Linked DNA regions of Macaca mulatta. The protein of the gene in region 1 interacts with the protein of each later gene in a pairwise test. Links are inferred from orthologs where the notes say so. Each region holds a gene or a part of one and is shown on either strand. Other genes may lie near its edges.

Region 1 (4,057 bases):
CCCGCCTCGACCTCCCAAAGTGCTGGGATTACAGGCGTGAGCCACCGCGCCCGGGCTAAAGTGACTTTTTTTGGAAAGTATGTTTCCTCATCATCTGAGTGAAAAAAAATTCACTGTAGGAGGGCCAAGAGATCACCAGATTAAGAACAGTGTTGAAACAATGGATCTTGTTCTAACTACACAAGTCTAAGATGGTACAGACTGGAGTCAACTTTGATTTTCCACAGCACAAATAAAGGTCATGGCTTCATATCTCAGCAATTGTCCGGAGTTTTAGTTTTTCCAGATTACACTGTGTGGGGTAGTCGGATTTAGGAAAACAAGACACAGTATCTGGAGAATAAAAACAATTATAACTCTGCAAGAACAAAATTCAAGAATCTGCCTTGAATTTTTGTAGCACTTGATGTTTCTTCAAGGTGTTTTCACGTAAACGTTGATTTTATCTATGTAACAGCCCTGTGAAGAAGGCAATTACTACTAGCAAAATCGTTTTCAAAATTTTAAATACCGAATCCATGAATAGGAAAAAGGACAGCGAAGTTGATAGCATTAGAGAAATGACAGAAAAGATCGTGAGGAAGCGATTCATAGAAATGGCAAACATAAAAAGCTGAGGCCCAGGGGTCCGCAAACCACAAGAGAAAGGGGCTAACCTGGCAGGGGAGAACGGCGTTAGTGGGGGAAGTGCAAAGAGGCAGGAGCGCAGGAAAGCTGGGGTTAGGAAACTGCAATTCACTGCAATAAAGAGGATGAGGTCAAATTTAAGAAAAATGAAGTCAGGTGGCATTGAAAACTGCGTGGAAGTTTGTGAGTTTTATTCCTGCCCTGATGAAGTGTGATCTTTCACAGAGGAGGATCCCAAGAGTGGAGGCTGTGCCCTCCTTCGGCCTCCCGTCAGCGGCAGAGGCAGAAAAGACTCGAGAAGTTCCCCAGGCCGATAACCTCCATGGGGACAGAGCCGAGATGAGTCCCGGAGGAAGCCAGCGGGAAGCCAGCAGAGCAGGGTGGTGCGTTCCCGCCGGACTAACAAAGGACGCCGGGAGGTGGGGGCTTCTCGAGTTGCTCCAGCGGTGGGCGGGCGGCGGAAGGGTTAACAGCACCACCACCTCCCGTGCGCATCCCGCTCCTACCCCCGCCGTCGCTAGGAGACGCCGGAAGTGGGGGAGGGGCCGGCGGCGCGGGCGAGGGTGGGAATCTTTTTCGGGCTCCCGGGGGCGGAGGGAGGGGAGCGCGCGTGCGCGCGCCCGGCCGGCCGTCGCCGCGGTGACCGTCCTCGCAGTCCGTCGGCTCGCGCCCCGCCCCCGTCGCCCCCTCCCCTGTCGCGCGCTGGGGCTGTTTCTCGCTCCTCCCGAGTTACCGCCGCCGTCGCCACCGCTCCTCCTCTCCCGGTCCTGGGTTTCTCTGGCGCTGCGGCCGCCGTTCCCTCTGCGAGCTGTGTGAGGAGGAGGAGGAGGAGGAGGATGTGAAGATGGCGGAGTTGCAGATGCTGCTGGAAGAGGAAATCCCGGGGGGCCGCCGGGCCCTCTTCGACAGCTACACGAATCTGGAACGGGTGGCCGATTACTGCGAGAACAACTACATCCAGGTGCGAGAGCATCCCCCGCTGGGGCGCGTCGGGCCTCAGGGGGCGGTGAGGAACGCGTAGGGGACCCCCCCATGGGGGGCCGCGCGCCTCGGGGTGTGGGGCCGAGGCCGCCGCGGGGACACGGCCCGGCGGAGTCCCCGATGGGGGTGGGGAGCTGGGTGAGGGCTGGGGCTGGTGAATGGGTGGGAATCCTCCGGCTGGAGAAACTGCATTTTTAAAACCTTTTTAAAAGCCGTGAAGCAGTCCTCGGCGCGGTGCGTGTGTCGCGTCCCGCCTCCTCGCCGCTGCTGCCCTCGGCCGCCCCCGCACTCCGCGCCGGTCAGCGTTCCGGATGGCAGAGGGGGCGGAGAGTGGCATTTTCTGTTTGACGGAATCCTGCTCCCTCTTAGGGTAGGGGTGTCGCTTGTATTGACGGGTTACTTCCATCCCCCACATTCTGGACGATTTTTAAGGGGCTATCTTGCTGCAGAGTGAAGTGCTTCAGGCTTCAGTTTTCTGTTCCTGTGAATGCTTCAGAAACCCTTTCTTAATATTTTATGTTCTAAAGGGGATACGGTAGAAGAGCAGCAGTCTCTTGTTGGAAGTTAATGCCATTTTTCTCCCTGTGGAGAAGGATGGTGAGCTGACTCCCCCCTCCCTCCTAGTCCCGTTAGAATAGGCAATTTTCCTGGGGGTGGGAAGAGGACGGACTATGACTGTTTCTTAGAATCGGGAAGATGAACCTCCTGTTTTTAAAATTTTTTTTTAATTATTATTTTTTACCGTGATGGATCGTTTGGCACAGGGGCTTATAGTGGTAGCGGCGTGTGTGTGGAGGCGGGGGATACTGGATGATACGAGATCCAGCTGCTCCTGGATGAAGCAAAATATTCTGTGGATTAAAGAAAAATCCTTCTTTAAACATTACTTGAAAGGATAGCAGGTTAAAATGCAGTTTGCAAAATCCAGCATCTTTTGCTTTTTTGTTAACGGTTATTTTGAATTATGGATTCTGCCTCCATTTTTTTTTCTTTCCTATTTAAATTCTCTTGGGATAAAGGTGGAAATGGAAGCAGTATGTTGAACTGTTTCTTCACAGTCCTTTTTTTTCCCCCCCCCCTGCTCCCACCTCCATCTCTCCAGGGATCTTTCTTTTTTCTTTTATTTTTGAGACACAATCTCGATCTGTAGCTCAGGTTGGAGTGCGGTGGCCCAATCTCGACTCACTGAAACCTCGGCCTCCTAGGTTTGCGCAAATTCTCGTGCTTCAGCTTCCCGAGTAGCTGGGACTACAGACGCCCGCCACCAGAGCCGGCTAATTTTTGTATTTTTAGTAAAGATGGGGTTTCACCATGTTGGCCAGACTGGTCTCGAACTCCTGACCTCAAGTGATCCACCCACCTCGGCCTTCCAAAGTGCTGGGATTATAGGCGTGAGGCACCTTTCTTAACGTTAGCTGTATAGGAAAGCATTTTCATGTTTTAGTGTAAATTTTAAGAAACTGGTGTTACAATTTTATAGGTTCATAAGTTTTGTAATGGCCACATTGTTGATCACGGAAGTGAGATTTTGTTTGATTAGACATACTATTATCTTGTAGACAACATTTGTATTTGAAAATGAACCACAGTATAAACCTGTTCCCTCAAGAGGCAGTTGAGTATGGCTACTAGGAAAGGAATGTAGGCAAGGTTAATACAAAAACATACAAATGTCCACTTGTAAGGTACTTTGCTGATATGAGTGGGGTAGAAAAGATTCAGAGGTTCAGGCCTGGGCGACAAGAGTAAAACTACATCTCAAAAAAAAAAAAAAAAAAAAAAGGTTCGGTTGCTCAATGTTTCTCTAAAATTGAAAGTCTTTTATGGCCTAGAACTGTGTGAGGGGTGGATGGTACATACCTAGTGTCTACAGAGTTTGATAGTCTAGTTAGTAGGAGAGGCTGATCTTGGAGGAAATTAATACCATGTAGTTAATTTACGCTCTGTAGTGCACTGCTGGTGCCAAGGAGGACTGGAGGAAGCAATGCTGTTCTGAGGGAATTCACAAACTCTAGTAGAGGCAAAACCTAAAGGACTGAAGTGGTAATTCCATTGCCTTGTGCAGCATATTATGGGGAAAGAGTTGCAGGTCAGAAGAGAAATTGAGGGTGGAAAAGTGGATTGCAATTATTACCAGTAAGAAATAAAAAATAAGCAGATTTCTCTCTCTTTTGCAAGATGGTTTTTTGTTGTAATTTGAAGGGACAAGTTCGTCTTAAGTTATAATTGCTATATAAAGGTAAAAGGATAAGGATTATTAAAGCTGAAAGGTTAAAGGGAGCAGCAGTTGTCTTTTTAAATATTATATACATTTCCTGCAGTTGAAAAGAGAAAAATGTCACTACTCTCAGTATCTGTTTTAGCAATGGGACTCAAAATTTAGTGTGGTGACATTTTATAATTTAAAACATAAATATTAATATTAATTTAATAGAAATGAACTTAGATT
Region 2 (3,500 bases), on another chromosome or scaffold:
GCAGTATAGGAAGGACTGGGGCCAGGGGTTCGGGGAGCTCCCTGAGAATTGGAATGAAGAAATGGGAAGCAGGAGACCTCCTGCCCCAAAGACCTCTCCAGCTGTGGTAACTGAGAGGATGTGTGGGATGGAGGCTGGGCGGCTCAGCAAGGGCTGCCTCATATCCTTACTTAAGCCCAGAATCTTGGCAAGAGGCTTGGGAGGTCCTTCTGAGTTTTAAAATGACCTCAGAGGCCACTCGTCCTATCTGTGGAGGTGAGGCCATGCAGGAAGGGAAACATTGTCTAAAGGCCCTTTTCCCTCCAGGCTGTGGAGTCGGGGGCCCTGGAGCTCAGTCCCTCCTTCCACCAGAAGAACTGGCAGCACTGGTTTTCCCATATTGGGTAAGGGTAGGGTAAGGGGAGCTCTCGTGGAGATGGGGCGGGGGGACCGACTGGTTATTCTAAGACTTCATGGATGTCCTCCCGGCAGGGACTGGTGTGTCTCCCGGCAGCTGTGGTGGGGCCATCAGATTCCAGCCTACCTGGTTGTAGAGGACCACGCGCAGGTGGGTAGGAAGAAGCACCCGGAGGGCCGGGTGTGGCGCAAAGCACCTAGCCCAGGAGTCAGAGCTCCGCAGTGCCAGGCCCTGCTCCTGCCTGGTAACGTGCTTCATGCTGTAGTCACGTACCCTTCTGTGCGATCAAAGCTCCCTGAAGTGGCGTTTCTTTATCTCACCACTGGAGGAACTTGGCCACTCTAAGACCACATGAGAGGATGTGAAAACAAAGGGACATTTGCACCTGTCAGCTGTTCTTCCTCACTCTCCCCGACTCCTTCCTACTTTTGCAGGGAGAAGAGGACTGTTGGGTGGTTGGGCGGTCAGAGGCTGAGGCCAGAGAGGTAGCAGCAGAACTGACAGGGAGGCCAGGGGCAGAGCTGGCCCTGGAGAGGGGTGAGTGCCTGAGCTGGGGAGGGATGCACAGGGGAGTGGGGTACTGGGCATCTGGGCCTTTGAGGGGAGCTGATCCTGAGATGGAGAAGGTAGGGTCAGGAAAGTTGGGAATGGAGCCAAAGGGGACAACCCTGGTCTCTGGGGGTGGAGGTTGGCCTAGAATGGTGGCAGCGGTGGTCTGAGGTCCTAGAAGCCAAGGTTCCAATTGTCCCCATTCTTTTTCTGTTTCCCAGACCCTGATGTCCTGGACACTTGGTTCTCTTCTGCCCTGTTCCCCTTTTCTGCCCTGGGCTGGCCCCAAGAGGTGAGGTGGGTTGAGAGGGCGAAAGTGAAGGGGAAACGATAAGGAAGGGACGGCTGGGCCCCCACAGAGGCTTGAGGGGGGCCCGGGACCTGGGCCTCTTACTGCTCCTCTTCCCCTTAGACCCCAGACCTTGCTCGTTTCTACCCGCTGTCACTTTTGGAAACGGGCAGTGACCTTCTGCTGTTCTGGGTGGGCCGCATGGTCATGTTGGGGACCCAGCTCACAGGGCGGCTGCCCTTCAGCAAGGTAACAGCCCTTCAGTGCCTGGCCGCTTTCTGTGACCCCAGTGTTCCCCAAACCTTGTCCTCCCTTCTGACCCCTAATGTCCTTTCCACGTTCCCGATTCCTTTTTCCCAATTCACTTGCCACCCTAGCCCCAAAAGTATGGAGGCCAGAGGGCCAGAGATCTCAAGGGAAGGAAACCCCCCTCTGCTGACCCCTCCCCGCCCCCAGGTGCTTCTTCATCCCATGGTTCGGGACAGGCAGGGCCGGAAGATGAGCAAGTCCCTGGGGAATGTGCTGGACCCAAGACACATCATCAGTGGGGCGGAGATGCAGGTGAGGACAAAGCACCCACTGGAGGGACAGGGTTTGTAGGAGAGAGGAAGGGAGGCTGAGGGAGGAGTGAGGCCAGCAAGTAGAGGCAGGGCCTTTGACCTGGGCTGTAAATTACCCCCTTCCATCCCCAGGTGCTGCAGGAAAAGCTGAGAAGTGGAAATTTGGACCCCGCGGAGCTGGCCATTGTGGCTGCAGCACAGGTGAGTCATCGCTGCCTGCCCCCTCCCAGCTCTAGCTCACCGCCTCTGGCTTCCTCTGCAACCCGGGTCCTGGCCCTGCAGCCACAAAGGCATCTGCCACCCTTCTTCCTCTGGTTGCAGAAAAAGGACTTTCCTCATGGGATCCCTGAGTGTGGGACAGATGCCCTGAGATTCACACTCTGCTCCCATGGAGTTCAGGGTAAGCCTGGGTGAGGGGTCTCGGGGTGAGCAGAGAGCAGCAGGCGCCTGTGCAGGGGCAAGGCAGGGGCAGGACTTCCAGTGCTGCCGCCACCTACATGCAGACTACCTTGATTCTCCCCTTCCAGGGGGCGACTTGCGCCTGTCAGTCTCTGAGGTCCAGAGCTGCCGACATTTCTGCAACAAGATCTGGAATGCTCTGCGCTTTATCCTCAATGCCTTAGGGGAGAAATTTGTGCCACAGCCTGCTAAGGAGGTAAGAGAAAGCAGAGGTGCTTGGGAGTAGGGTAGTCAGGTGTCAGAGGGCCAAGGTGGCATCTGGAAGGAGGCAGGGGAGGGGAGTCAGGCCGTCCTGGGCCTGAAGCCCTCTTTGCCTGTAGCTGTCTCCCTCCTGCCACATGGACGCCTGGATCCTGAGCCGCCTTGCCCTGACCGCCCGGGAGTGTGAGCGGGGCTTCCTCACCCGAGAGCTCTCGCTGGTCACTCACTCCCTGCACCACTTCTGGCTCCACAACCTCTGTGACGTCTACCTGGTGAGCGAGGCTGGGGGAGGCTTGGCATTCCCATGCCTGCTTCTAATTCCTCTGGAAATCCGATTCCAAGGCAGAGAGCTCTGGAGTTAATAATTCCCCAGTTATCCCCTCAAGTTAGGAAAGGAGAGGAGAGGAGATGAGGGAGTCTCAGTTCCCCTCTTCCTGGGACTGGTTTCGCAGTGCAGCCCAGGCACTGTTGCCTGCCTGTCACCTGGGGAGAAGAGGAGGAGGGAGACTTCTAGAAATGTCTCACAAGTCAGTGTCAGAAGGCAGAGGGGAATTTTTTCAGTCCCTGTAGTTGCTGAGTTTGGCCCATGGGCAGGCTGCGTGCTGAGAGAGGCCTGGGAGGGACTAACAGTGGTCTTTAGACCAAGGGTTCTCACGCTGTCCTACGTCCAAAGCACCTGGAGGGCTTGTGCCTCCAAAGCACATGGATCCTCCCGCCACCCCAGAGTGGCTCCTTCAGCAGGTTGGGGTGGGGGTGGGTGGGTGTCATGAATATTCATTTCTTGTCCCAAGTGGTGCTGCTGCTGCTGGCTGTGGACCACTGCCCTAGCTCAGCCTTTTAAAAACCTCTGTTCCGCCGGGCGCGGTGGCTCACGCCTGTAATCCCAGCACTTTGGGAGGCCGAGACGGGCGGATCACAAGGTCAGGAGACCGAGACCATCCTGGCGAACCCGGTGAAACCCCGTCTCTACTAAAAAATACAAAAAACTAGCCGGGTGAGGTGGCGGGCGCCTGTAGTCCCAGCTACTCGGGAGGCTGAGGCAGGA
Region 3 (3,500 bases), on another chromosome or scaffold:
TTAAGGCTGCTGCTAGCATGCATTAAATGAAGTAACTCTAGATTTGATCTAAAGTTTGTGTTTCACGCTTATAACAGTAATTGCAATCATCATTCTATATTCGAAATATTTACCTGATATTTCTAAACCCATAGGACATTTATGAATAAAGAAATTGCTTTGAGGAATTAACCCTACTATTTATAAAAAAGGCTTTAGTTTCAGGACTAAACAATGTGTGCGACAACAAATCCACAAATATTACAACTGGACCGGACTCCCTGGGTTACTTCCTTCAGGCTCTCAGTTACTGAAGCCATGTGTATCTCCTGGTCACAGCAGCCCCTCTTCCTAACCTCCATGCTGCTGGTGAGAACTTACAGGGCTGGTGTGGTCTCCAAGGGGCAATGGGTTGCCTATTTGACAAAAATACGATTAAGGTAAAAAAAATTAGTGCCACATATTCACCAAAGGTCAAACTCCTGTATGTAGCACCCAGGGTATTTTTGTGCCAAAGGGAAGTATCCTAACAAGTTTCCTAGCACTTTGACTACATACCAGTTGGGTCTGCACTTTTAATGTAGAGGCCTCAATTTCCAGACCTTTTCACATATGGGAGTTTCAAGGTTTCTACTACGGTTTTTACTGCATCCCTCCAGTGAATTCTAAGGGAACAAAAGAAAACCTTATAGAATATTCCCACATATCAATGTGTTGTTCTTAAAACATTTTATTTCTTTTTCTAAATATAAACCCTTAAAATGCACATTATTTTTTAAAATAAAAACTGGCATGAATCCTAATCTTTATACAATTTCACAGCAATAATAGCAGCATGATTTTAGCCTCTTAAAAGATTTCCTCCTCTGCTCTAAATAAAAATTTCAAGTTCTAAAAAGCCAGAGCAGCAACCATCCAATAAATGGAATGCAATTCTCCTAGTGTCTTCTACAGACTGAGCATTTAAAATATGTGAATGTATAAAACTTGAGTATTATTAAGAGTTATGGAATGAAATGACAATCTAAACTCATTTTGTAAACATAGGACTGCCTTGCTAGTCTGATGTATTTTGTGGAGTGGAGGGAGCTGAGAACATAGAATGGAGCTGGGCTAGAGAGTTCCTACTCTAATAAGGAATGCAACTTTCAAAAGCTGCAGGTGTTAAACATGTTTAACATGTCTCCAGAGTTATAAAGAGCTATACCTGAAATGCTGGTGTAGATGGTAATTACAACACGACTGTGACCACACAAGTACAGAGTAAGCAAATGACAGTAATGGCTTAGGACAGCAATGATAACTGCCCAGAACTCCACTGATGAAATGGGGCTGTGTACTAAGCCGTTATTGCAGGAACTTGCAGTCTAATAATAGATAATTTGTAGCTACTTAAATTCCCAGGGATCCTGTACTCAGGTTTAGAAACAGAAACAAACACGGAAATTTATATTCATAATAAATTATGTGTGTCTATCCAGTCAAACCATGCTGGGCTTTTTTAATGAAAGAAAGCTGATAATTTAGGAAAACCAATGGTATGACATGTTTTACTAGAATTACAATTCACCAAACATTATTGAGGGGTGGGGTAAGAAGAAAACCTGAAGGCAGGCAATGCATTAAAAGCATCAATAAGAGTTTTCTGGTGCTAACAAAGTTCACTGACAATAAGAACTTTACTATCTTCCACCTAAGAAGTTTCCTTAAATACTAACTTTTAAAAATCCCTTCTGTCATGATATGAGCCCATTCATTGAGCCGTGAGGAACAAGGATGGAAAATAAGAATAGAAAAAGTATGGTTCAGCCTGAGTCTAAGTGGTCTGGTGTTTTATGATGACTCTACCAAATGTTTAATTTAAAGTCTTAATTTCTTATTTTTAATTATAATGTTGCTGTCTGACTGACTGATCTTGAAGGATCAGGGATTTTTCGACGACTCTAACTGAACACAAGCTCCTTCTCAGATGGGGCGAGTGAAGTGAGAAGAGTGTGTCAATCTGGGCAAGTTGTGCAGCTACTGATGGAGAAGCAGGAAGACAACAGGGAATGCAGAAGGCTACCAGGACATCGGTGTGAGCTGCTCTCAATTACGCAGCAAATACTAAGAAGAAAGGACAACGCTGAATTCGAATTCAGTGAAAGGCAGTCCTCAGGCTCTTTCAAGCTAGCCCTAGATCTGTGTCCTGCGACAGGTTTCTCTACTGGGTTTCAGCACGGGGTTGTACCATCCTTCGGATCTTTTCTAAAGACAAAAATGACAAAGTCTATAGATGGAAGAGGTGGTAATGAAGCAGGGAAGGGGAAAAAGATGGTGATGTGTTTACTTTTATTATCTTTTTTTAAATGTGGCCAGGGGTTTTATAGTATTTTTTGTTTTTTAATCTTTTTGGTTATTGAAAAAAATAGAACAGTCCACTGTCCAGCAGAGGCTGCTTCAACTCTATTGCTCCAGGGCTCATTCTGCATGGATCTGTGTTTCAGGATGCTGCAAGGACCACTCTGTAGGCAGGAAGGCCCCTTGACCCAAAGCTGTAGCATAGGTCCTGCTCTGCGGATGGGGAAAGCCGGGGGGCACATACGTCCCCATGCCGCCCCCTGCAAAGCCTCCCCGCTGGTGCTGAGGCAGGGGGTGGTAATCTTCCAGGTTATCATACTGAGACACAACAGCCACGCTGCTCTGGCGCTTGCCGTGCGGTTGGTATTGGTACAGCACACTGGGGTCCCTCTCCACGTTCTGGGTGTGATGGAGTTTGAGGCTATGACTCCTCTCTGGTTTAGGGGGTGGGACCATTGACTGAGTGAGGTGTTCTTCCTCCTTGTAGCAGTCTCTGGAGTGTTTCTCTGGGGCAGAAGGCTGCCTAGCCCAAGGTCGCTCCATCTCTTTGGAGAGCCTCACCTCTTTGTGGTTCAGTCTTAAAGATTCTTGCCCGGATGCAGCATATTTCACTCCAGAGTTATGGTAGCTGACTGGCTCAGAAGTGTCTGGAATCCCTTTGGACCCATAATCTAACTGGCCAGCTCCCTGGGGATAAGGGGGCCCATTCTTTGACTCACAGAACTGCCTATGGCTTGCTTCCTGGTGCGCCCTGTGCTCAGGGAGACTGCAGCCCATGTCAGGAAGCTTCCTGCTCCTCAGGCTGCTCTGCTTCTGCGGCAGGGATGGCTTCTCCGGCTGCGTGCTACCATGGCCTCCGTGGTGGTGGGCTCTGTCCATCTCTGCCTCGGGATGCCTCCTGTAGAAGCGGTCCTCTCCCTCGGGACTGATGGCCTTGGCTGCATGGCGGCCTTCCTTTCCTTCTGCCACTGACAGAAGTCCAGTTTTCCCAGGATCTGATTTACTACGCAGATGGATGACATAGATCCCACCCAAGTCGTCCTGCACGGCCGGGGTCATGTTATCATACTGGGACATGACAGGCCCTTTCACCTTCTGCCGAGCACGGCTCTCTCTCCGGATGGACTGCATGCGGTATTTTTCCATGTCCTCAAGATCCCATGAGGTGTAGGTGTGCTTCA
Region 4 (3,500 bases), on another chromosome or scaffold:
ATGCTGACACCGCTTTAGGAATTTAAATTCATTTGGCCATGAATTTATTTTATTTTTTATTTTATTTTTTTTGAAATGTTTTATTTCCACAGGGTTTTGGGGAACAAGTAGTATTTGGTTACATGAGTAAGTTCTTTGGTGGTGATTCGTGAGATTTTGGTGTACCCATCTCCTGAGCAGTATACATTGAACCCAATTTGTAGTCTTTTTTTTGTGAGACGGAGTTTTACTCTTTCGCCACGCTAGAGTGCAGTGGTGTGATCTCAGCTCACTGCAACCTCCAGCTGCCTGGTTCAAGCAATTCTGCCTCAGCCTCCCGAGTAGCTGGGATCACAGGCATGCACCACCACACCCAGCTAATGTTTGTATTTTTAGTAGAGACAGGGTTTCACCATGTTGGCCAGGATGATCTCCATCCCCTGATCTCGTGATCCACCCGCCTTGGCCTCCCAAAGTGCTGGGATTACAGGCGTGAGCCACCGTGCCTGGCTTAATTTGTAGTCTTTTATCCCTCACCCCGTTCACCCTTTCCCCAAGTCCCCAAAGTCCATTGTGTCATTCTTACGCCTTTGCATCCTCATAGCTTAGCTTCCGCTTATGAGTGAAAACACAAGATGTTTGGTTTTCCATTCTTGAGTTACTTCACTTAGAATAGTAGTCTCCAATTCCAACCAGGTTGCTGCGAATGCCATTAATTCATTCCTTTTTATGGCTGAGTCATATTCCATTATATATATATGTACCAGTTTCTTTATCTACTTGTTGATTGGTGGGCATTTGGGTTGGTTCCACATTTTTGCAGTTGTGAATTGTGCTACTGTAAACTTGTGTGAGCAAATATCTTTTTCATAAAATGATTTCTTTTGTGTTTTTTTTTTGAGATGAAGTCTCGCTTTGTTGCCAGGCTGGAGTACAGTGGCGTGATCTTGGCTCACTGCAACCTCTGCCTCCGGGGTTCAAGCAATTCTCCTGCCTCAGCCTCCCAAGTAGCTGGGACTACGGGCATGCACCACCACGCCCAGCTAACTTTTGTATTTTTAGTAGGCACGGGGTTTCACCATGATGGCCAGGATAGTCTCAATCTCTTGACCTCATGATCCGCCTGCCTTGGCCTCCCAAAGTGCTGGGTTTACAGGCGTGAGCCACCGCACCCAGCCATGACTTCTTTTCTTCTGGGTAGATACCCAGTAGTGGGATTGCTGGATCAAATGGTGGTTGTACTTTTAGTTTTCTAAGGAATCTCCACACTGTTTTCCATAGTGGTTGTACAATTACATTTGGCCATGAATTCAGCTGACACTTGTCAAATGTCTGTTGAATATCATGCTTGTGCTAGGTGCTGGGCTTACCCTAGTACAGCAGACAGCCTCTGTCTTTAGTACAGCAGAAAAGGCAGATGGGAAATAAGGTAGTGAACAAATAAAGGCAGGATGCACACCAGGTACAGTGATAGAAAACTGCAGGAGCGACCTCCTTGGAATGGGGGTTAGGACAGAGGTCTTAGAGGTGACATTGAAACTGTGATCAGAGGGTGAGAGATGTCAGCTCATGAATAGAAGCCTATAGGTGGGAAAGCACTTGATACCTAGGAAGAGACCCTTGTGACCCTAAAGCAGCTCTGCCAGGTGGGCGGGCACTGCCTACGAGACCAAGGCCTCAGTTCGAGAGGAGAGTCACGAGAACAAGGAAGAAGCAGGCTCAGGTCTGGCCAGCATGGTGACTGGCCTGATGGTTTCCTCTGATCGGATTTCCATGCTGTTGCATTTTTATTTCTGATTCTAGAGAGGTGGGCGGTGGTGGTGTTCTTTGAAACCAATCAGTGTAATTAACCAGCCTGTCCTCTGCCTTTCTCCCATAGGTTGATATGGGAAGTCTGGATGCCTTTTGTTCGAAATATTGTCACTCAGTGGCAGCCAAGGAACTGTGACCCGATGGTGGACTTTTTGGATAGTTGGGTGCACATCATTCCTGTGTGGATCTTAGATAACATACTGGACCAACTCATCTTCCCCAAGCTGCAAAAGGAGGTGGGGTGAGAGTCACAGGAACAACTGTCATCACTAACCACAGGGACTTGTTCAGTCTATGTCTTCATTATCTCAGTGCTGTTAAAACGCCTGGAATTAACAGAATTTGTCAACACAACTGTTGACCTAGAGTGTTAATTCCAGCCTTTTTCTCAGCACTTTTCCCCCCAAGCCACCCTCAGGAGGGAATTCATTTTCTTGATTTCTTCACTAAAATTAGAATTATGCTATTTCTGAGAGGTAATCAAATGAATGGGCATATTTGTTTGGCGATGTACAAAGGACCATGGGCCTTGGAGAGCATGGGGCCTCCTCCAGGGGCAGCTCTTGCCTTTAACCACACGGGTGTTATGTGACTGCCCAATAGGCGACATGAACTGTTTCTTCTGTTTCTTCTCCCCACATTGCAGGTGGAAAACTGGAACCCGCTCACAGACACTGTTCCCATCCACTCTTGGATCCACCCATGGTTGCCCCTTATGCAGGCACGGCTGGAGCCGCTCTATTCCCCCATCCGTAGCAAGCTGTCCAGTGCCCTGCAGAAGTGGCACCCCAGTGACTCCTCTGCCAAGCTTATCCTCCAGCCCTGGAAGGATGTCTTCACTCCTGGCTCCTGGGAAGCATTCATGGTCAAAAACATAGTGCCCAAGCTGGGTAAGGATATGGGGAAAATGCAGTCCAGGCCCAGCAGCTTTGGTGCCCTGGTTTCTGTGGTCAGTGGTGATTTAAAGCATAGCCTTTGTATTCATGAAAGTGCTTAGTACACAATATTCCTTGCTGTTCAGAGGCTGAACATAAATGTAACTTGGGTCCTTTCCGCTGTTTGTTTACAACAGCGACTAATAGTTGACAGTAACAACATCGGACTCTGTGCCTTGTGGTTTTCCTGATTGGCTTTGGCTTCTGGTAACAGGACAGCCATTGGAGTTCTGAAATTTTTGTGGTATTTTATTCTAAATTATTAGGGAGTTATTTCTGGTTTAGCAAAAAAAACACACATATATATATATAATTTTTTTTAAGAATTGCTATGTCAGGAGCTTAAATTTGACCTTTAAAGCAGATTAAAGCCTGAGCAACATGGTTAAACCCCGTCTCTACCAAAAATACAAAAACTAGCCAGGTGTGGTGGCATGTGCCTGTGGTCCCAGCTACTAGGGAGGATGGCTTGAACCTGGGAGGCAGAGGTTGCAGTGAGCTGAGATCTGCCATTGCACTCCAGCCTGGGCAACGGTGAGACCCTGTCTCAAAAAAAAAAAAAAAAAAAAAACCGCCAGGAGCCGTGACTCATGCCTGTAATCCCAGCACTTTGGGAGGCTGAGGTGGCAGATCACCTGAGATCAGGAGTTTGAGACCAGCCTGGGCAACATGGCAAAACCCTGTCTCTAATAAAAACACAAAAATTAGCCGGCCGCGGTGGTGCACACCTGTACTCCCAGCTACTTAGGAGGCTGAGGCACAAGAGTCACTTGA
Region 5 (4,173 bases), on another chromosome or scaffold:
CATCCTGTTTAACAACCACACTTATGTTCTTTTCTAATTATAAAGCTAACTATTGACTTAATAATGCTTCTGGCCAGGCACGGTGGCTCACGCCTGTAATCCCAGCACTTTGGGAGGCCAAGGTGGGCAGATCATGAGGTCAAGAGATCGAGACCATCCTGGCTAACACGGTGAAACCCCGTCTCTACTGAAAATACAAAAAAATTAGCTGGGTGAGGTGGCGGGCCCCTGTAATCCCAGCTACTCGGGAGGCTGAGGCAGGAGAATGGCGTGAACCCAGGAGGCAGAGCTTGCAGTGAGCCGAGATCGCAGCCACTGCACTCCAGCCTGGGCGACAGATAGAGACTGCATCTCAAAAATCAATCAATAAATAAATAATGCTTCTACACACTTTGATCATGTGTTAGCATATGAAACTCTTGGCTGAGACCAACTTACTATAAAACGTGTGTAATTTAAATAGTATAATTTTCCAATGACTTTAATCTAACAATCTCCTCCTACCCCATTAATCAACACAAAAAGCAATTCATCTTTGAATATATGTGTAAAGAACATAGTTCATGTGTTTATAAAAAGTTCTTCTCTGCTACAGAGTTTAGCTGTGACATCTATTAACAAAGTAATTTATAACTCTAATAAGTTAGCAAGGTCTTCTTGCTACCAGTCCAGTCATTGGTGGTGAGTGCTCAGTACTGGCTGATGAATACATGAATGGATAAAAATGTAAGAGCTGTCCACACATATACCATAAAATGCATAAAGTAGATCCCGTTTTATCTCAATTTTTATTTCTGTGATATAACTGAGATAAAATCAAACACAATGTATTATTTTAAAGTATACTGTTCATAAGAGAGAAATAATGTGATCTGACCTTATTTTAGAAGAAAGTTGTCTGTAAAAAAATTTAAACTCAAAAGTAAAAAAGCCACTGGTTTCTAAAAGCTCAAAAAAAAATTTTTAAGTGATTGGCTTTCAGAACAACAGCAACAACAAATAAGCCTCTAAAATAAGACAAGTAAATTCCAATTTTTTATTTTTGCATTTACTTGCTTGCTTGCTTTAATTATATACAAATCTCAATTCCATTAAAGTATCAGGATGACAATTAATTAGATGTTTTTAGTGACTTTTCCAATCCCTTCTAATTAACTTGATTAAGGAAGTGATTTACTTGCTTCATGGGAGGTGTGAATTCTCAGCCAGGGGGTTTGAATGAAGGGAAGCAAGTGACTCAGGCATTTATTGGGTGCTTACAATCAGATTCCCACTGGTGAGATCACGCCCATGTGTCTGGAGGTCCACACGCAAGCAGCTGCCTCCAGCCCAACCCTGGATGCTGAGTGTAGTCCCAAGGCCCCGCCTGCCCCACTTCCTATACATACAGCCACTCCTGCTGTGATTGTGGGGACATACAAGGAAGATCAGGCTTCCGTGGAAGCTTCTGCAATTAAAATCCACTGGGGATTCTAGAAGGAGCACCTGTAAGTAGATTCCGGATGGATGGGGCAGAGTCTGTCTCATGGTGGGTGTTAAGCTGGCCTTATACAAAAGAGGAGACCCATCCTGGTACCATGCCAGGTGCAAAGCACTGTGCGATTTATTGTAAGTGTCTTGGTAACAGGGCTTGAAGCCAGGCAGTGACTAGAAACCTAAAATGCATTATTTAGTCATAGAACATTAGAAATAGAAAGAAAATAACCTCCCAAATCATCTAGTCCATCATTCAGCTAAATTCATTTAATTCATATCCCCAAACTACATCTCCAAATGTACAATGGTTTCATTCCTGGTTTAGGGATTTGAGGTTTTGTGTCTGTACAAAATATATTAATAGTCTTATAAAATAATATGTCCAAAACAGAATAAACTTAAAAGCCAAACACAAGTAAAGCATGAAACAGAGGTTCTGAAGAGCAACTCCTCAATACAAATAAACCATTGTCCTTTATCTCCATTGTGACTTTCAGTTATGTAGGCACATCTGCCTTTTTACATACCTAAATTATACATGAGGATTATAAATATTCTTTATGTGTATGTTAGGATGAAAAAAACCTGCCAAGGCAGGTGCACGGGCTAAAAGAACACACCTTCCTGTTTCCTTTTGTTACCTGTTTAATTAAAAAAAAAAAAAGTTGCCCCTGATAAAAGCCTCCAATAAATGCCTCTAGTGCTATTTTCTGGAATTGAATTAAACATATTAACATATTGTTATACAAAGGGGGGGGCGTGGAAGCAAGGCAAGGTGGACCGTGGTGCCAATCCTAGTGACATGTCAGCAGAGGAGGAGTTTCTTGCCTGTGGACTTCATAAAAGGCTAGCTCAACACCCTCCATGAGACACACTCTGCCCCAACCATCCTGAAGCTACAGGTGCTCCCTCCTGGAATCTGCAATGGATTTCAGTCGCAGAAGCTTCCACAGAAGCCTCAGCAACTCCTTGCAGGCCTCTGTAGTCAGTACAGTGGGCACGCAGCGCCTCGGGATGACACCCAGCGTTTATGGGGGTGCTGGAGGCCGAGGCATCCGCATCTCCAACTCCAGACACACGGTGAACTATGGGAGCGACCTCACCGGCGGCGGGGACCTGTTTGTTGGCAATGAGAAAATGGCCATGCAGAACCTAAATGACCGTCTAGCGAGCTACCTAGAAAAGGTGCGGACCCTGGAGCAGTCCAACTCCAGACTTGAAGTGCAGATCAAGCAGTGGTACGAAACCAACGCCCCGAGGGCTGGTCGTGACTACAGCGCGTATTACAAACAAATTGAAGAGCTGCGAAATCAGGTGAGAGATGACGCCTGTGTTTCCTAGTCTGTGTTTAACTGAAAGTTAAATCAAGAGGTTATCTATGTTAGGCAGGTCCAAATGGACGTTGTAAAGACAATTAGGCTAAAATGTTACATCTACAAAAATTCTTTCATCTACCTTTAGACTGTATAATAGGATGACCTTAAATCATGCTATTTTTAATGTTTAATATAATTATATACAAAATATGAACATTTTATCCTCCGGAATAAAATAAATCTTTGTCACAGCTTACCACATCAGGGCTAAATGTATAGTGAGCAATCTTTCTGAAAAGAGCTAAAAATTAATTATGTGATAAATCTCTCTTAGTTTTTCATCTAGTCCTCAAGTTTTGAAACCCCAGTCAATTCAAAGACTTTTCTCCTTTTATTTAAGTAAATATTATAAGGTATGACCATTAGAATACTGTACTGCAGATTTAAATAACAAAGTGATTCTGGGTGGAAACAGTGTGGCAGGAATATGGGTCTTAATGATGCCTGGATTTTTAAGTGCCCTGTTTAATAACATGACCATCAGCATCAAGCAGTTCAGAAACTAATTCTACAGTAATAAAATATTCTATTGCCCCCAATTCATGTTTATTGCAATCATATCACAACCTCCTCCTATGTCATCAAAAAAAGGGTGGAGCTCTGTATTTTATCAGTTGCATGGAATAAAAGCAGAAGACTTTGCTCCTAATTGAAAATTTCATATATGACACAGAGCACTTGCTTCGAATTAAAGCTCTTATCTAATCAAGAGAAGTGTTCACTGTCATTTCTGTGTTAAGATTCATTCATATTCCTTTAGAGTAAAGCCCATTTACTTACCAGCAAGTCTATTTTTCTTGAGTTGTGCTAAACATCAGAGCAATTTGATTCGGACTCTATGGGAAGTTGCTTTGGAATTTTAGAAACTATGGGCGTGTGAAGCAATGGTATTTAAATTGCCCTTCCGGAATAAAGTTCCTCCTTCTTAGGCTCTCACTAAAAATGTTCGAACCACACCTGTCTCATGTTTCTGACTCTACTTTGGCTCATCTCAAATACACAGGCACAGGCCATCCGTCCCATTGAGCTGGACAGTCCCAACCGTAGGGAGCAGCCCTCTCCAAAACTGGATCCATTGAAAGAGAAATGTCATTGCAACATCCTCTGCAAGTAGATTTTTCATCTATATGCATCCATCATGCATTTAGTTCTTTTATGTATCATGTTCTTTCATTCAGCCAATACTGAATGACACTACCTAGGTGCTGGGCACCATGCTAGGCACTGAGGAATAGTATGGTGGACACAATGTGATTTATGAGGAAACAGGGATGGACAGAGGGACCAGCACACAGAGGGATAATGAGAGCACAGGCAGATC
Region 6 (4,297 bases), on another chromosome or scaffold:
ATGTTATTTGGGCCACTGAGAAACGGGGTCTGAACAGACCTCCAGGTCCTGCCCCATCCTGACCTGCAAAGTCTATACCAAGGACAGACTTCGGGAAACAGATAGGAGTGAGTGCATGACTTTCCTTTTTCCTTCAGTCATAGATTTGCATCACTAAGAAGGCTTTTATGAGGCTGAAGAGTACATTTTAGAGAGTTCCAATATAATAACAGAACTAGTGTTCACCAAGTTAGATCAATTCTACATTTAGCTCTTTTATCAGCCTCTTTGTTTCCATCTCTGTTATCACTACCTTCTCTTCCCCCATGACTGAGTCTCCTCAGAGGTCTCCTTGCCCCTTGTTCCCTCCAACATGTCATACAAGTCTTGATGACATCCCACTGTTCAGATTAAAATCCATTTAGGGCCTTACTATAACCCAAGATAAAATTTAAATGCTGTAAGTTGAGCCCCTACCTATTGTGCCAGCCCCTCTGTTGTCATCTCCTTCACATACCCTAAGCTACTGAATGCTTTCTAGGTGAGTCAAACTCTGATACCCTACAGGTCTTTGCATTTTTTGCACCTACCTGGAATGCTAGTTTCCCTGATCTCTGGTTAGGTGGACAATCAGGACTCATTCTTAAAATCCCGAAGTATTATTCCCAAGAGCCTTCTATGCCTCACCTAGACAGGCCTCTTTCCTCTTAACTTTCATGCCACTTTGAATATACTCAGACATACTGGTGTGATAGCAGGACATATTTGTATATCTGGTTCCTCACTAGATTGTGAGCTCCCTGAGGGCAAGGTTGTGTCTCTTAATGGTGTTACCATCTAGCACAGCACGTGATATGTTGAGAATCAGACTGATTAGGATAGAACTCCTAAACTTACTAGCTGTGTGACCTTGGGCATGTTACGTATAACCTTTCTGCCTCATGTTTTCATATCTGTAAAATATTGCTAATGAGTATAGTGCTTACAAGAATTATTGTAAAGACTAAATAGCAAAACTCTTGTGAGCTCCTGGTATATAGCTGGCACTCAGAATAGACATGGCTATAGAGTGCCCTCCATAAATATTTGTTGAATCAACTCGGCAGAACTAAGGAAGGGTACTATTACGCTGTATGCCTACTAGGTACCAAGCACTGTGCTAGAGAGGAGTGCAGTTTTCGTGGTCTAAATGGGAGTCTTAATTGTTGCCTTTTAGGGATATGGGTCCTGAGCTCCCAAATCGTTGGATGTGTGGTTCACCTGGGTGTTTGTTAAGAATGCAGTGCGACGTTGCCCTCTGTCGCTCGCTGATCGTAGCCCGAGGTCAAGCTTGGGCGCCCTCACAAAACCAGTACCACTCTGGTGTCTTCGACTTTGCTGGCTTCACCCTTCCCAAACCTGTTGTTTGCCGCTCGCGGCCCCACTGCACATTCTCAGCGGGCCGATGTGGCCCCGCCTACCTCGCGCCCACTGGGGGCGGAGCCTGCGGCGCATCGCTGACGTCACTTCCAGCGGACACGGAAGCGCCGTTGTCGGCAGATGTAGTTAGGAAGTCGTGATGGGTCAGCGTAAGCCTCTGGCCGACGTGGGCCGAGGGGGCCGGCCCGGGCTGTTGTGACCCAGACGAGCGGAGAGTGCGGAGCGGCATTTCGGCCAGCGCTGACGAGCCCTGGCAGTGCGCGCGCCTCTGGTGCCAGTGTCGCTCCGCCTCCGGGATAGAATCCGCCCCAGCCCTCTGGGCCTGGGACCCGGCGGCCGCTTTCTCCAGTCCTTCCCGCCGATCCGCATTAGGTCCGGGATAACTGGGTGGAGTAGGTGTGCGGCCCGCCGCCGGAGAGCCCGCTAGCTGTTTCTTTAAGCCCACCCCTGCGTCTTCGCGGCCCTCTCCCGTTCTGCCGGAAAGCTGACGTGGGGCAATCCGTTCAGAACCTCCATGGAGAAGTTTGGGATGAATTTCGGAGGCGGCCCGAGCAAGAAAGACTTGCTGGAGACTATAGAGACGCAGAAGAAGCAGCTTCTCCAGTATCAGGCACGGCTCAAGGATGTGGTCCGTGCCTATAAAAGCCTACTGAAGGAGAAAGAGGCGCTAGAGGCCAGCATCAAGGTGCTGTCGGTATCCCACGAGGCAGATGTGGGCCTCGTAGGTGTCCAGCTTCCAGGCCTCACATTTCCTGACTCTGTGGATGACCGGTGCTCCACTCACAGCGAGGATAGCACTGGGACCGCCACTAGCTTGGATACTGCGGCCAGTCTCACCAGCACCAAGGGTGAGTTTGGGGTAGAAGATGACAGACCGGCCCGGGGACCACCACCTCCAAAGTCCGAAGAGGCCAGTGGGTCCGAAAGTGGCGTTAGCAGTAGCAGTGGGGATGGGCCATTTGCAGTTGGGGAGGTGGACAAAAGACTGCACCAACTGAAGACTCAGTTGGCTACTTTGACTAGTTCTTTGGCCACAGTCACTCAGGAGAAGTCCCGCATGGAGGCTTCTTACGTGGCTGACAAGAAGAAGATGAAACAGGACTTAGAGGATGCCAGTAACAAGGCGGAGGAGGAGAGGGCCCGCCTGGAGGGAGAATTGAAGGGGCTGCAGGAGCAAATAGCAGAAACCAAAGCCCGACTTATCACACAGCAGCATGATCGGGCCCAAGAGCAGAGTGACCATGCCTTGATGCTGCGTGAGCTCCAGAAGCTGCTGCAGGAGGAGAGGACCCAGCGCCAGGACTTGGAGCTTAGGTTAGAAGAGACCCGAGAAGCCCTGGCAGGACGAGCATATGCAGCTGAACAGATGGAAGGATTTGAACTGCAGACCAAGCAGCTGACCCGTGAGGTGGAGGAGCTGAAAAGTGAACTGCAGGTCATTCGAGATGAGAAGAATCAGCCAGACCCCCGGCTGCAAGAACTTCAGGAAGAGGCTGCCCGCCTTAAGAGCCATTTCCAGGCTCAGTTACAGCAGGAAATGAGAAAGGTAATTATCCACATCTTTTTCAAACATCAGTCATTGACCTGAAGTGAGAACTATTAGGGTTTTTTTCCTCCTTTGCTAGTTAGAGCTAAGTGTCTACAGTGTCATTTTTGATGCTGCCTGAGAAGTTCCACTAGAGAACCTGGGAAGTCCTGTTCTATGTGGTGTTGACGTGTGTGCTTCCAGGAGGATGTGGAGCTTCTCAGTGGAGGCTGGGTTGAAGCCAGACAGCTCTGCACTTCTGGGCATTGGCATCTTACCAGCTGTGGTCTATGAAGCAGTATAGCAGCATCTGTACAGTAAAAGGTAATGTGTCCAGTAAAAGGTAGTGTGTCCAAATGTTCTCTTGGTATGTGCTTCTAGGGAGGGTGGCTGAAGGCAAAGGGGATTTTCTCAGAAGTAACCTCTTGTCATTGCCTTTACTCAAGATTTACCTGTTTTGGAGAAGTGCTATACCAGAACAGGTATTGAAAGGGTGCCTCCTTTCAGTGTGGAGAGGGAAATCCGGCTCAGTTTTGAACTTCCAGGAATATTGGATAAGGAAAAGAATGTTGTATGATTTCTTAATAGGATTTGAGGAAGCACCAGAAAAACAACAGTAACACACATTACATGTGAGTTAGGTGGAAAGCAGAACAATAGCAGATATACCAAGGTGCTTAATATTGTTCGGTATATGTGTTTTGCAGAACCCAAGCAGGTAATAGGAACTTTTGTTAGCTCCTGAAGCAACCGAAAAATCCCTAGTTCACATTCTTGCCAGGCCATCCCAAACCTGTGACCCTTTTGCTCCCCTCTCCTTCGAAACCAGGAACTGGTTTCTCGAAGTTTGCTGTGGGGCTTTTGTGGATGCATTTTTGTCTGTTCCCTTGTTTTCCAGACAGCTCTTGCAGAGGATCAACTCCGTCAGCAATCTCAGGTGGAAGAACAGAGGGTGGCAGCCCTGGAAAATCAAATATCCGAGGTGTCTGAGCTGCTAGGCACCTATGAGAAAGCCAAGCAGAAGGACCAGCTGGCCATTCAAAAGCTGAAGGAGCGCATTCTGCAGCTGGACCTGGAGAACAAGACACTGGCTCTAGCAGCCTCCAGCAGGTCCCCTTTAGACAGCCATGGAGAGGAATCCAGTCTGGATGTCAATGTCCTGAAGGATAAGATGGAGAGGCTGAAGAGGTTGCTGCAGGTTGCAGCCAGGAAAAGCCAGGTGACCCTGGATGTGGAGAAGCTCTGTGACCTGGAGATAATGCCTAGCTCGGAGGCTGCTGATGGGGAGAAGGCTACTGCACTCTATTACCAACAGGAGCTGAAACAGCTGAAGGAAGAGTTTGAGAGGTACAAGATGAGGGCCCAGGTCGTCCT
Region 7 (4,238 bases), on another chromosome or scaffold:
GAGCCAAGATCGCGCCATTTCACTCCAGCCTGGGCAACAAGAGCAAAAAAAAAAAAAAAAAAACAACCCAGAATTGCTGTCAGGCACAAAAATGCCCCACATAAAATAGATGCTTGATCAAATGGTCTCTTATTTAAAAAAAAATAAAAATAGCTATTATTGGAAGAAAGAAATAGACCCCAATTCTCCCCAAGTCCCTTCTGCCCTGAGATTCTAGACCTCTGCCTCGCTTCTCTGTCTTCCCAGCACCCCAGCTCCAGTCCGGGACACAGCCGACACTCAACAAATATTTGTCAAATTGGGAGAAAAAGAACTATATCTTGTAATTTTCCATCTTAACATCCTCTCTTCCAACTGCCCCCAGGACTGTCCCCCAGCCAAACCAGCCAGAAATCAGAGGATCCTAGGTTCCTCCACCCCTCCAACATTGCCTAGGAATTTCTGAGGGATCTTGGCCATGTCTTTTTCTCTTTGAGCCTCAGTTTCCCCAGCTGGGTAATAGGGGCATGGGTTTTGAATCCTGGCTGTCCTTGGAGAAGAGGCACAGCCCAGTAAGTCGGGTGTGACCACCTGCAGGGGAGACCCCTGGAAAGGTGGGAGTGGCCTTCTGGTGGGACAGGCATCTGGTCACTTCTGCACTGCACCCCACCCCAGCACCCCCACAAGGTGGGATGCTTGATCACCGCCCCAGCAAGAGGTGGGCCCTGTGGGAGGGCCAGGGCTTCCAGGGCTGCTGGTGGTGGTGGTGGTGGTGGTGGGGAGGGCAGGGGGCCGGCCCAGACACCACTCCTGCCCTTTTACGGTTGCAGTGAGTGAGGCAGCACTAACTCGGACATCCGCCATCCGCCTTCCACTGAGCCTGGGACCGGAAACGCGAGGGGGGTGGAGGGGCGGGGCTGGGGGGCAAGGGGAGAGAAGAGTCCCGGAGGAAGAGGGCGAAGGAAGAGAGCGACGCTCCCTAAACTGACCCCTCTCCAGGGCGGACTTGGAAGGGATGTTGCTATAATGGGGAGCGGATAGGATAGGCAGGAAGTCTTGAGGGTATCTGTGGGTGTCCTCCTTGCTCCAAATTTTCCAGCCATGCCTTTCACATCAGAAGGAACAAACGCGGGAGGGGAATTCTCTAGTGGTCATAAAAAGGAACGCCACTCCACTCCGATGTCAAAGGGCAGGGGTTCAGGAAATGCAGGGGATGTGGGCACCACGGGGTTAATCCCCAGCCGTCCCCAGGGGCCTCCCTGCTAAGGCTGGGGGCTTTGGGGCAGGAAGTCCCAGAGAGAGTGGAGGAAGGGAGATAGTATTGTCAGGCTCTGGCCCCATGGGAGAGATTATGGGGGGCCAGGGGAGGGGAGAATGGGAGGATGGTTGGGTCCCCCTGCCCACACTGGCCCCGCCCTCAGGTGAGTCCAGGAGTTCGGGGGAGGCCCCGGCCAGACCAAATCCCTGGGTCCCTTGGGCCGCCGCCCCCAGGATTAAATTCCTGGGAAGATAGCTGGAATTATCTGGGAAGCCTGGGTCCCTAGGGAAGAGGGCTATGACCTTGAAGCTTTCCAGCTCCCCTTCCTCCAACCCCAAGGCTCCGGATGGATGGGGGGGGCGGCGAGCAAAGGGGGAGGCGCCGTGGTGGGGAAGGCAGCCGGCCCACAGCGCTCGGTGCCCGCCCCCCACACCAGCTGTCTCGACAGGTGAGTCAGGAAGACAAAGGCCCCCTTCCCCCAGCTGCTGCGTCCCCTCCCTCCCCAGGGCCGCGCAGGTGGGGGAGCCGGGCCGCCCTTATGGCCCGGGGCAGGGAGCCGCCCTCTGCTCCGAGCGCCCGCTCTGTCCTAGGCACTGCCTGTTAAGCAGATTGCGTGCGGAGCGACGGGGGAGGGGAATCCCACCAGACTCCGGAGGCTGCGTCCGGGTCCCTGGATCGGTTCATACCAGCCTCTTCCACAGGAAGACCTAAGTGCCCCCCAAAATTTAGGGGATTAAGAAGTACCCCCGAAGTTCAGGAGCGCGGTCTCACTTGGGGAGACTTTTTCCAGCACCACGTAAACGGGGTCCCTGCACACCAAGGGTCTGAGTCTCAGTCTCTCTTCCAAGTCCCAGGGTCTCCCAAACCAGTCCCCCACAATCCTTCCCCGACCTCGAGCTGAAGTTTGGGGGGAGGGGGAGGAAAGTCTGAGCCCTGCCTCAATCCTGGCATCCCTGCGGGGAGTCGCTGCCAACTTTGAGGTCCTCTGAAAAAAAGTCTTAACAATTCGGGAGTCCTCCGAGCGTCCCCAAATCTTGAGGGCTCCCAGGGGAACCTCACCGCCACCACCCCCCGAGCTTGGGAAGTCAGTCGTGGAGAAGTGATCGACGGTTTTGGGGCTTGTCCTAGGGGATTCAGCCCAAATCCGAGGCTCCCAAGGATCTGTCCCCAAATTCCAGCCCGGAGCGAGCTTGGGGGGAGGGGGACAAAGGCGGGGCGCGGAGCCCGCCCGGGCGGGGACGGGTCGGGGGGCAGGTCCGGCTCACCTCATGGCTGATCTGCGGGCGGGCGGCGCGCCCACGGACTGGCTGCTCCCGGGGCGCCCCTGGCTGGAGGTTCAGGGGTTCGGGGCTGGCTCCGGGCTCGACTCAGGCTCCCCCAGGGTCCCGCCCCATAGAGTCCGGCTTCCTGGGTAGAACGTGGACCGGGCCGGGGCGGGTCTCCGGGCGCCGCTTCCCTCAGGCGATCTGATGAGAGGTCCCTGCGGCAGAAAGGGGATGCGGCGTCTGCTCCCCGACGCGCCCCCCTTGCCGGCGGCGGCTACACTGTTACTCTTACTACTGTACTTCTCTTCGTTACATTTCGTTCCAAAATTCCACTCCCCGCACCCACAATGCCCCGCGCCTTAAAGGGGCCGCGCGCGCCTCCAGGCGAGGGGGTGGAGGGCGCTTAAAAGGGCAACTCGGCACCCTCTGCTTCCGCGATCTTGCTGCTCTCCCCAACGTTATCGTCCAGGGGTGCACCCTGGGAGTCACCACCACATGGAGGGGCAAGCTTGGTGAAGGGGAAGGCGACCTCCCTTGCTCCCTAGTTCGCTTCCACTGTGGGAATTCTCAGGAGCGTCTCGGAAGGGGCACGATTTCTTTCCCCATCGACTTCTCCATCTCGTACTCCGCTCAATTTTGGGGGTCGAAGAGGACCCTCCAGTTAGTTAAGCAAGTGGTCTCAGATTTTCTCCCTGAAATTCCATCTTCGGAACCCCGCCCCTCCCCAGCGTCTCTCTTCTGTCAATTTCGGAGGGGTTACTAAGGGGGCGAGCCCCCCACCCGCGCGGGAGGGGAGGTGGGGGGGAGTAGGGCCCCACCCCTCTCACCCCACCCCGCCCGCCCCGGGAAGGTGAGGAGGAAGTGGGCCAAGGGGGCGCGGTCGGCCGCTGACTCACAGCCGCAGGGTCGGGGGTGGGGTGGGGGTGGAGGTGGGGACTGGCGAGGAGTGCCGGAGTTGGGGGCCTGGCATTCGCCCGAGGTGGGCAGGAGGCGCCGGCTTCTTGGGTATGTAAAGCCTCCGACCCACGTACGCCCCGCTCTGACTCAGTTTCGCCTGCGGAGGACAGCAGGATCATCCCAGCCCTCAGGAGGGCCCGGAGGTGAGGAGACCCTCCCCGGAGCCCCCGCCCCCACACGCCGGCTCCAGGCTGAGCCCAGACACCCTCCGAGGCTTCCGCAGCGTGTCTTGCCGGCCACGCCCCGAGTGACGTCACTGATGTGGTCGCGCCCCTTGGGTAGAGCGCCACCTGGCCCGGGTGAGGGCCCGGGTGAGGCCCTGGGAAATCAGTTTCACGTTTACACATGGGTAAACTGAGGCCTGGAGACAGGGAATGAATCTGGCCTATGACCCTCTTGCCTGAGCCCCCAGAACCCGGAAAGCCACCAAGATCTGAGTGTAAAACCAACAATTCTCAGGGCCAGCTGACTAGGTGAGAGAATCCACTTTTCCAGCGTATTTCCAAGCCGAGTCCCATGTCCGGATGTTTTCCTGACCTCCTTTACCTGGAGAGCACTTCCTCCTTACAGGCCAAGCTCTGACATTAATTACCCTCCCCTTCTCCACCCCACTCTGGGAGATCTTGAACCCTGATCCTCAGAGGTTATCATTGTTTCTCAGTGTGTCTCCTGAGGCTGAGTTGTCTGGGAGAAGGGGTAGACTTAATTTCTTTTTTCTTTCTTTTTTTTTTTTTTTTGAGATACAGTCTCCCTCTGTCGCCCAGGCTGGAGGGCACTGG

What was found.
Region 2: the proteins of ABI2 (region 1) and VARS2 interact in binary tests that used the Homo sapiens proteins (3 or more experiments, as listed by UniProt). The link is inferred for Macaca mulatta from reciprocal best matches to the Homo sapiens genes ABI2 and VARS2.
Region 3: the proteins of ABI2 (region 1) and ARHGAP32 interact in binary tests that used the Homo sapiens proteins (3 or more experiments, as listed by UniProt). The link is inferred for Macaca mulatta from reciprocal best matches to the Homo sapiens genes ABI2 and ARHGAP32.
Region 4: the proteins of ABI2 (region 1) and TFIP11 interact in binary tests that used the Homo sapiens proteins (3 or more experiments, as listed by UniProt). The link is inferred for Macaca mulatta from reciprocal best matches to the Homo sapiens genes ABI2 and TFIP11.
Region 5: the proteins of ABI2 (region 1) and KRT20 interact in binary tests that used the Homo sapiens proteins (3 or more experiments, as listed by UniProt). The link is inferred for Macaca mulatta from reciprocal best matches to the Homo sapiens genes ABI2 and KRT20.
Region 6: the proteins of ABI2 (region 1) and GCC1 interact in binary tests that used the Homo sapiens proteins (3 or more experiments, as listed by UniProt). The link is inferred for Macaca mulatta from reciprocal best matches to the Homo sapiens genes ABI2 and GCC1.
Region 7: the proteins of ABI2 (region 1) and VASP interact in binary tests that used the Homo sapiens proteins (3 or more experiments, as listed by UniProt). The link is inferred for Macaca mulatta from reciprocal best matches to the Homo sapiens genes ABI2 and VASP.

Annotation. Positions count from the first base shown.
Region 1 is NC_133417.1:108,554,709-108,558,765, forward strand, and holds the start of ABI2 (abl interactor 2), read left to right. Parts: upstream 1-1,257; 5' UTR 1,258-1,471; coding exon 1,472-1,588; intron 1,589-4,057. UniProt on the Homo sapiens protein: Regulator of actin cytoskeleton dynamics underlying cell motility and adhesion. Functions as a component of the WAVE complex, which activates actin nucleating machinery Arp2/3 to drive lamellipodia formation.
Region 2 is NC_133409.1:152,131,930-152,135,429, reverse strand, and holds part of VARS2 (valine--tRNA ligase, mitochondrial), read left to right. Parts: intron 1-306; coding exon 307-383; intron 384-471; coding exon 472-547; intron 548-831; coding exon 832-934; intron 935-1,167; coding exon 1,168-1,238; intron 1,239-1,358; coding exon 1,359-1,484; intron 1,485-1,691; coding exon 1,692-1,796; intron 1,797-1,927; coding exon 1,928-1,996; intron 1,997-2,116; coding exon 2,117-2,195; intron 2,196-2,322; coding exon 2,323-2,450; intron 2,451-2,574; coding exon 2,575-2,727; intron 2,728-3,500. UniProt on the Homo sapiens protein: Catalyzes the attachment of valine to tRNA(Val) in a two-step reaction: valine is first activated by ATP to form Val-AMP and then transferred to the acceptor end of tRNA(Val).
Region 3 is NC_133419.1:129,329,624-129,333,123, forward strand, and holds part of ARHGAP32 (rho GTPase-activating protein 32), read right to left. Parts: coding exon 2,440-3,500; 3' UTR 1-2,439. UniProt on the Homo sapiens protein: GTPase-activating protein (GAP) promoting GTP hydrolysis on RHOA, CDC42 and RAC1 small GTPases. May be involved in the differentiation of neuronal cells during the formation of neurite extensions.
Region 4 is NC_133415.1:25,059,231-25,062,730, forward strand, and holds part of TFIP11 (tuftelin-interacting protein 11), read left to right. Parts: intron 1-1,858; coding exon 1,859-2,027; intron 2,028-2,437; coding exon 2,438-2,681; intron 2,682-3,500. UniProt on the Homo sapiens protein: Involved in pre-mRNA splicing, specifically in spliceosome disassembly during late-stage splicing events. Intron turnover seems to proceed through reactions in two lariat-intron associated complexes termed Intron Large (IL) and Intron Small (IS).
Region 5 is NC_133421.1:65,266,522-65,270,694, reverse strand, and holds the start of KRT20 (keratin, type I cytoskeletal 20), read left to right. Parts: upstream 1-1,373; 5' UTR 1,374-2,400; coding exon 2,401-2,790; intron 2,791-4,173. UniProt on the Homo sapiens protein: Plays a significant role in maintaining keratin filament organization in intestinal epithelia. When phosphorylated, plays a role in the secretion of mucin in the small intestine.
Region 6 is NC_133408.1:167,434,214-167,438,510, reverse strand, and holds the start of GCC1 (GRIP and coiled-coil domain-containing protein 1), read left to right. Parts: upstream 1-1,497; 5' UTR 1,498-1,912; coding exon 1,913-2,944; intron 2,945-3,821; coding exon 3,822-4,297. UniProt on the Homo sapiens protein: Probably involved in maintaining Golgi structure.
Region 7 is NC_133424.1:58,036,574-58,040,811, reverse strand, and holds the start of VASP (vasodilator-stimulated phosphoprotein), read right to left. Parts: upstream 2,801-4,238; 5' UTR 2,508-2,800; coding exon 2,503-2,507; intron 1-2,502. UniProt on the Homo sapiens protein: Ena/VASP proteins are actin-associated proteins involved in a range of processes dependent on cytoskeleton remodeling and cell polarity such as axon guidance, lamellipodial and filopodial dynamics, platelet activation and cell migration.